2 linked regions of the Caenorhabditis elegans genome follow. The protein of the gene in region 1 interacts with the protein of each later gene in a pairwise test. Each region holds a gene or a part of one and is shown on either strand. Other genes may lie near its edges.

Evidence for each region. Proteins that work in one complex are often made in the same cells at the same time.
Region 2: the proteins of Y38H6C.8 (region 1) and sgt-1 interact in a two-hybrid assay, tested with the Caenorhabditis elegans proteins (2 studies listed by BioGRID).

The regions. Positions count from the first base shown.
Region 1 is NC_003283.11:20,511,739-20,516,623, forward strand, and holds Y38H6C.8 (C-type lectin domain-containing protein), read left to right. Parts: upstream 1-2,222; 5' UTR 2,223-3,027; coding exon 3,028-3,110; intron 3,111-3,160; coding exon 3,161-3,279; intron 3,280-3,634; coding exon 3,635-3,909; 3' UTR 3,910-3,994; downstream 3,995-4,885.
Region 2 is NC_003280.10:4,901,443-4,905,370, forward strand, and holds sgt-1 (SGTA homodimerization domain-containing protein), read right to left. Parts: upstream 2,355-3,928; 5' UTR 2,352-2,354; coding exon 2,195-2,351; intron 2,142-2,194; coding exon 1,453-2,141; intron 1,322-1,452; coding exon 1,154-1,321; 3' UTR 846-1,153; downstream 1-845. Other genes in the region: R05F9.9 (MSP domain-containing protein), read right to left, coding at 191-364, 448-531, 583-657; btbd-10 (BTB domain-containing protein), read left to right, coding at 3,617-3,767, 3,826-3,928.

The DNA.
Region 1 (4,885 bases):
TCAAATCAGAATCATGCAAATTGACTCCTGAAATATTTATATTAAAACTTGTTATATTAATGTTCGTTACCATTATCAAGTTTCTCCTTGACCTCCTCATAAAGCCGTTGTGTAAGCTGTGCCAAACGAACCCGCACGCTTTCTTGGAACGCTTTTTTATCTTTCTCGTACTTGCGCAGTTTGTTCATATGAGCATCGGTTCGTATCCAGCGATAACTATGGTGCATAGTCGTTATCGGCCTACTTCCAATTTTTCCGCTACGGTAGAAGGTGATCGCTTTATCCAACTTTTCCCTTGATACAGCTTTCTCACCGAACAATACATCATCTTGATCCGGCAACACACAGTCATACGGCTGAAAGGTTTTTTAAATGACAATTAATAGTGTCGAAACCAACATACCTCAAAAACTTCTGGCTCCCAATCGCCATATTCTTCTTGAACCAAATATTCGGATTCTTCCACACTGGTATCTCCATAATAAGATTCCTTTATAATGCTTGCCAAATGATCTGCCACCTTCTGCTCATGTCTCGAAATCGAGGGATTTGATGGGAGGGGATTGGGAAAATGACGATGCAAGGCAAACATCACGTTTCCGATATCAAAAGACATTGAATAAAAGAAAACCAATAGAATGTAAACTATTAAAGGGACAATTTCAGTGAAATTTATCAAAATACGAAAATAATAAAATTAAAAATTAGCGCCAGCTAACTATTTAGCAGAGCAAATACGTTTTGACCCAATATAAAAACAATAATATGAAAAAAAAAAATTAAAATAAAGTTTTACCAAATCGATATTGGCAAAACATCTTGTTTTTGAGGCTCCATATCTCTGCAGGAAAAAATCGCACTAAAAAGTGATTAACTGAAAACTTGTTAAACACAATGTAATCTAAAACTTTTCAGTTGAACACTTTTTTGTAAAAAATTTCGTTGCCAAGATATAGATCTTTAACTATTTAGAATATTCAAAAATAATGAAGCTCAAATCAATTGGTTCCAACTCGGCAACGAAATTTTTTACAAAAAAGTGTTCAACTGAAATGTTTTAGATCACATTGTGTTTAACAAGTTTCTAGTTGATCACTTTTTAGTGCGATTTTTTCCTGCAGAGATATGGAGCCTCAAAAACAAGATGTTTTGCCAATATCGATTTGGTAAAACGTCTTGATAAGGCATCAGAATCAATGATTCGGTCATTGAAAATAATGAAAAATAGGTTATTTGTGACACTCTAAAATATTTCATGCATTTTTAAAAAAATTTCAAAAAAAAATTTTTCGATCAAATTTTCTCATGGGTTTGGTGGAGAAAAAAGTGACAATTTTCGAAAAAAATTAAAATTTCTGAAAAGTTTCCAGGGTAATTATGGTTCAATTAAAAAGCAAAAAAATTATGTAAAACCCTCAAAAAAATGTTCTAAATACTTGTTTCCCGTTCTGAAAATTTTGTATAAAAAAGGCCAAAAGTTAAACCATGTATGGGAACCGAACACACAAACTTCTGCTCAAGAGGCGAACGCGTTCACCACTCGACCACCGAACCGATGTTTTCGCCCTTCCACCATTGTGGTGAGACTTCTGTTGGCGCCAGAGACAAAAATCCACTGTTAACCATAGGAAATGCACTGATTTCAGTGTAGAATTTCAGACGTAAAAATTTCAGATTTCCAGCTCGAACGGGCAAAAATTTCAGTCATATTCTTATAGTAGAGAATGTCAGCTTTCCGATACAATATTTTTTTTTTGAATATCGCTCCATTTATTCTGGTCATTCCCTAGTAAGGTATTAGTACGTAAGCACTAAGTTTTATAAAAGTTTCTCATGGTTAGACGGCAGAAACTCTTAGGGCCTGTTAACACAGCCTACCTAAAGAACCTTATACTTTTGAGGACCAGGGACGGTCCTGAAAGAAAGGGGGGAGGTGTAAGAGTTTCCGCGTCTCCCCATGCTCGGTACAATTCCCCACATTTATTATTGTCTTACAGGTCCAGCAAGTGCTGCCGTAGCGGGTAACATCACGGTTATCCGGCCAGAACCGCTGCCAAAGACAACGACTAGACTTGCCAACGTTCATCAATGCACGCTGCAAGTGCGCTCCACCGGACGGCGCGCGGATCTGAATTGCCGGCGCCAACTCTAATTGTCATCGTTCTCGAATGTTCTCTCCCCCTCCCTTTTCCCCTATAAAAGGAGCGGTTTCGCTCATTCGAGGCCTTTTTCCTTTACTTTTAACCCGTTGTCACGTGTTCGCTGTTTGCCCCCAACAAACTGCTTTTCTGTAAATTACTTTATTAACTAATAAACCTGCTCATGACAAGCCATTCTTACTATATCTCCGCTCTTCTTCTCCTCTTACAAACCTGCACTACAGAGCTTGTCTTTTCTCGTGAGAGATAACTAAAAAATATATGATAATCTCTCGATGTCTTTCTTTATTATCACTAACCTGAAAACTACATTTGGAGGGAGCTCACATCTTTCGCCTCCTGTTTTCTTATTGTCTCTTTCATCGTGAAAACCACAGATATATCTGAAAACTTATCTCATAGTAATAAACTCTCATTTCCCTATACTATTTTTACGAAGCTTCGATGAGGACTACATTTGGAAGAGTGAACTCATCGTCTCGTCGAACCCCACACTATTTCCGATAGTGTTTTGATCTCTGGCACTATTAACTCTTGACATACAGAAAACTATCGTATTACCTGAATCTCTCCAATATTTCCAAAAATCTCACATTATCGTTTCTTGATTGATAATAAAAAGAGATGCTATGACAATCAAGAATAAATTAATTCAAAGAAGGGTGGTGGAATTTGAAATTTCAATGCCTCGAACAACCAGACTATCTTGTTCATGCACCAATTTGTTACAAAACTCATGAAATTATGAAATATGGATGATTAAAATTTTTGTGATAAGTAATCACTACGGGAAGAGGCGCGGTTTCTACAAACACATATAAATAGAAGCTGATAAGATGAGTTTCTCCGCTGAGGAAGGTTCAAAATTATGCTTCGCTTATTTATCATTGTCTGTCTAGTGTGCTCTGTCGCGCCGGACTGTGTTCCGGGAGATGTTGGATTTGGAGATTCGTAAGTGAAAAGAGTTTTGTGGGACAGAAAACTGAATTGGAGAGTTCCAGCTGCTACTCGTTCAACCGTGTTCATGGAAAGTTCAAGGATGCCAACGATTTGTGTGTAAAGATGTTTGGAGGGAGTCTGGTAAAAATCACGAATATTATCGATAACAATTGGATGCAAAGTGAGATTTGTAAATTAGACGGGAACTACATGGTCTAATGGCGGGTGAAGCTAGCTAGGAATGGTATAGACAGACATATTCTAGCTCCAGCAACTTAATCAAGATAGATTAACATCGCATGCAAAATCTATCATGAAGAAAATCGAAACATTTTAACTTCCAAGCGTAGAAAATGTAAAAATAGCTAGATATTTTCTTTGAACGAGCTTTGCTAACTGATTCTTACCGCTTTCTATCACTAATGCCATGTCCACAGTTAGCATCGAAATTTGACAGAAGTCTGACTATAGTTTGCCCGATCCTTGGCTACCAATGAGTACCTCCTTCTTCATAAAAATGTTTAACATTTTTCCAGAACTGGCGGTAAACCACCTCGACGCCGACTACAACTCTTTTTGGATCGGAGCCAGCGACGCTGCCCACTACACCAATTGGACTTGGATTGACGGGAGCCCAATGCGATTCTCCAATTGGGGACCAGGACAGCCACTTGAAGATCGGCACTGCGGAACTATGCTCATTTCGACTGGAAAGTGGTTTTCCCAAGTGTGCGATGAAAGGATCCAGTTTCTGTGCCAGTATCCCAATGGGGCATACTCTCCAACATGCCCTCCGTGCCTAGAGATTTGATGATTTAAGTTTTTTTTATTACAACAAAGTACCTCTCATGTTAATAAATTACCTCACATTGTTTAATGGAAACAACATTCGAAAAAAAAACATTTTAGATTGTTATTTGATTTGGTTTAAAGTTTTCAGATTTTACATTTTCTCTAAAGCGTAGGCACATGTTTAGAAATAAGATTACAACGTTGAACTAGGATAAGGCTTATGCTTGTGGGCTATGCTCAGGCCTCTCACCTTGTTTCACTTAAGGCAGGCATATGATTGAGCTAGGCTAGTGTAACGGCGTAAGCTCAAGTTTCATCTTTAGGCTTAGGCTTAGACCTAAATTTAATCTCAGCTTTCTACCTCAGTTTTCTTAAAAGTTCCAGGAACAAACTTGCCCTTCCGCTTTAGAAGTCTCTTTTCACGTGGTGCCAGGATGTCCCATTACGGTTTGATCTACAAAAAATGCGTGATTTTTTTCTCAAAAAATGTGACGTCAACACGTGCTTAACCATGCGAAATCAGTTGAAAAGCATGCGTCTCAACTCCCGCATTTTTGTGGATCTACGTAGATCAAACCGAAATGAGACACTCTGACACCACGTGTCTTTTCAATATGCCTGTATCATATTATAACAACAATGACAAATTTATTGTGTACTATCAACTATTATTACTGATCGTTGTTGTCATAAATGCTTCGGAACCGCTCCCTATCGAAAATTTCTCCGCAAAGCTCGCTGTGCTCGTGTGACGTCCAAAGTGTGATCACCAATACTTTTGTCTCATCTTCCATGTCGAACGCTTGGCGGTGTGAAACATAATGGTGTTGACTGAAATTGCAATTTCAATAAAATTGGCCTCTAGGTTAATATGTTAATGTGCTTACTCATAACGATGAGGATGATGGACAGCCGGAACATCGAATTCCTTGAGAAAATCTTGAATTTTCCATTCTTGGCCGGTGGAGATTTTGAAGAACGATCCGAGGGGCAAG
Region 2 (3,928 bases), on another chromosome or scaffold:
GAATTTTTTTGCAGTGAATTGACGAGTTCATGTGTTTTTTCAAACACAAGTTGTTAGTGAAAATCTATGGAAATCGATAAAAATTCTGCATAAACGAGAATTTGAAATTACAGTACTCTTTTCAAAGGCGCACACCTTCTTTCATTTTACAAAAATTTGTCGTGCGAAAATCGAAAAAATTATAGTGTACCTGAATAAATCTCTCTAAAGCTCCTTTCTTAAGTAAAAAAAGAAGAGCAGGTTCTGGATGTTTCGCACTATGATCTTTAATTGAAACACTTTCAACTTGTGATAATGGAATTCCAATATTCAATGGTTCCTGGCTGTCATCAATCGAAAGTCGAATACGGAAGCAGATTTTTTCCTAAAAAAAATTAAATTTATTTGATCATTTTTAGAGTTTTTAAAACACAATAATGCTCGTCACGCAATAAATTTTCTACTTACAGCTGAATTGACTCGAAACGTCAGTGAAGAATTAGGGAGAAGTGGTAGAGGAACGTCACCGAGAAGAATTTGTTTCGGGTACATCTGAAAATAACTTTTAAAAGAATTTAGATTGACAGAAAATTAAATTCCTACATAATTTCTATACGTTGGATCCAGATTACGACATTGTTCAGTTATGAAAAATCGAATCCTTTCGTGGCGTTGCATTCTGAATTTATTTTCAAATTTGAGGTTTTTTACAATTTAAATTGTTTAATTTAATACTAAAATATTTCAACAAAAAAATCAAAAATAAAGAAAATGTGAGTACTCCCGCGCTATCTTTCGTTTGGGTGCAAATCGATAATTTCGTGTTGGAGCGCGTTTGCAACCAGTGTGTCTGTGATGGAAAGAATATTTCGACAATATTTATTATTCGTGAAAAAAAAGAAAATTGACCCAATTTTTTGTTGGTAGTTAAAACATGACCATCTAATTAAAAACAATATTTCGATAAGGCTTGAATCGGGGGCGATTATAACATCATCATTGTAAGGGGAAATTCTGCGAGAGAAACTAAAAAAAACGAGTAACCATAAGCGACTTCGGCTTTTTCAAATCACATGAGAGCAGAAAGTAAAGACGAGAGAAGGGGAAAGAGAGAGAGAGAGAGATAACGAAATGGAAATTCGTGATGCGGAAGGAGATTGGCGGAAGAGATTATCTATTGTGGTGGGTTTGGTGGTGGTGCTCCTCCATCGGCTCCGGGGCCGAATTGGCGTCGAAGATTTTCAATAAGTTCTGGATTGGTCTCTTGCATGCGAGCAGCCATTTGCTGGCCAGCAGCCATCAAATCAGCGATTGATCCATTTCCAGACATCATGTTGTTGAACTGAAAAATTCAATATTTTAGAGCATACATCATCAAAAAACAAGCAATAATAATGAAAAACAATTAATTTTGACGGCCACGTGCATTGCCATTTCAATTAAATCTTTTATTCCCGAAAATTTGATACTTACCATATCAGAAAGTGCTGGATCGCTCATCATCTGTGAAGCAGCTTGCATAAGTCCTGGCTCGTTCATAAGGTTTTGCATGTTTGGCATTCCTGGCATAGCCGGCATTCCTCCCGGTCCTCCTCCCATGGCTCCCAAAAGCCCAGCCAATGGATTGGCACCTGGTGCCGGTCGCGAGCTTTCCAGCTCCTTCAATTTGTCTTCAGCAATTTTCAAATTATTCTTGTAACTCTCTTGATTTGGTTCAAGCTCCAAAGCCTTCTTGTATGCCTCAGCGGCATGCTCATATCTGTTTTGGCAAGAATATGCAAGACCCATTCTTCCCCAAGCTTTTGAGTAAGATGGATCAAGGGCAAGAGCTGTACGACAATCTTGGATGGCCAAATCATATTGTTCCAGGCGGCAATAAGCAGCAGCGCGGTTACAGAAGTAGACTGGATCTCTGTTGAGCTTGATGGCGGCATTGTACTTTTGAACAGCAGCTTCAAATTGGGAGGCTTTCATTAAATCGTTTCCTTCTTCTTTAAGCTTGTTAGCTTGAGAAATATCACTATCGCTCGGTGTTGGAAGAGCAGATTCTCCCTCTGGAAGTCCTTCGGCGCTCTTGAAAAGTTCGAGAATTGGGCGTGATGGTTGGAAAGCGTATGAGGCATCATCAAGACCAAACGAGTGTTCGAGACATTGAATTGCAACTGAAATTTTAATATATCTTAAGCTAAATTTATAGAAATAAATAGGAAAAAACCTTCAAGAGCTTCCGCTTGCTCGGCAGTGGCCTGATTTTGTGAAACCTTCTGGCGGATAAACTGAAGGAATGAGACAACCAAATTTTGCTCGTCTCTGGTCACAATTGGCGAAGCAGTCGGCGCATCTGGAGCAGAAGGCTTGATCTCCTCGGACATTTTCTTAAAAATAAAAATATATTTATTAAATAATTTTATATTGAAGTTAGAAAAGTAATATAAAGTTGAATTGAAAATCCATGATAAAGCGCAGATTAAAATATTCTTAAAAATATATAGTTCAAGAAATAGAAAATGGCATCGCTTAAAAATGGCATTCCGTGATTATTTTCACTCGGGAATCGCTCGCCCACTATGGGGGAGTCTACGCAAGGACAACGCAAGGACAAGGACAACATTCTAATGGAATGGAAACGATTGCCCGACTGCACCAATTCTAGTTCGAGCGAACAATGATAACTTTTGTATTCTATATTCCTTCACGTCTCCCAGCGAGCGTAATAAATTATTATTATTATTAAAAAAAAAGAGTATTAATTTTAAATGCTTAACTTAAAATCTGAATTTAAGCGCTCTATTTGCGAAATTTGGTCAATGAAGAGTGAAATATTGTAACGAGAATAAAATTGAAAAGTTTTTGAACAACGAAGAGTAAAATTAAAGATTGCAACGTCATTTTATTTCAGAATCAGTGCAAAAATTTCTGGAAATTGCGGGAATAATTTCATCAGCCTCAAAGGCACATGTCGGCCGTCACTTTGATGTGTCTCGCCACGAAAGTAAACCAAGTTCAACTGAAGAGACGGCAGACAACTTGACAGAAAAGTTGCAGCAGCGCGTAGAGTGTATTGTAAAGTTGAGAGAGTGCTAGAGAAAAAAAAAGAAGCGAGAAGCTGACTGGTGGCCCCAGGTCTCCTTCCAAAAGCCACTCATTTCCCTCTGTCGACACCCGTCAACTTAAATTTTTTGGGGCCAGAGACGTCTGGGTACCAAAAGTTTTATTTCAAGCTTGTTTTATTCGTTTTTGTTTCAAAAAAAAAGTGTGATAGTCAGGAGAACGCTGCTGTGAAATTTGTTGTTTCTGTAAAAAATGAAAAAAACAAATTGAAATCAAGCAAATTTTAATTTATTTGTTCGCAAAGTCCTTTTTCACTATGTTCCAAGCTTTCTTTTACCCAAATTTTCCGTTCGAAATGTGTTTTTTAAATGAAAACTTGTTCAAATTTGCGGAATTTTGAAAATACTTGTATTTGAATAATATTTACCCAGCCATTCTGCCTGTCATTCTTATTTTATACTGTTCAACTCCTCCCAAACTTTCACTATCTGTTTCCTAAATAAATAAAACTATATAAAATTTCGCACATTTTCAGTAATTAAACTGTCACTCTTATCATCTTCTTCGTCTTCCACCATTCTACAACATGTCTCAATCGGAAGAACAGAACAAAGACATTCCATCATCTTCAAATTTTGGAAACCCAGCAAATAATGGCGTTAATGTGCCAGATGCTCCTGCGCGACGACTCTTCGATAACACTTCTGACGAATCTGATGTTTCACTGGATAATGATGGTAAGAATTCGAATTTTTCATTCAGATTGAATAAAAATCAATAATTTATTTTTTTCAGACAAAACCGGGGCTGAAACTGACGGTTCCTCTTCAAGTCGTGGATGTCTGAAGAGCGAGAGATCTCGCAAAGATCATGCCAGCACGTCATCAACAAGAACTGT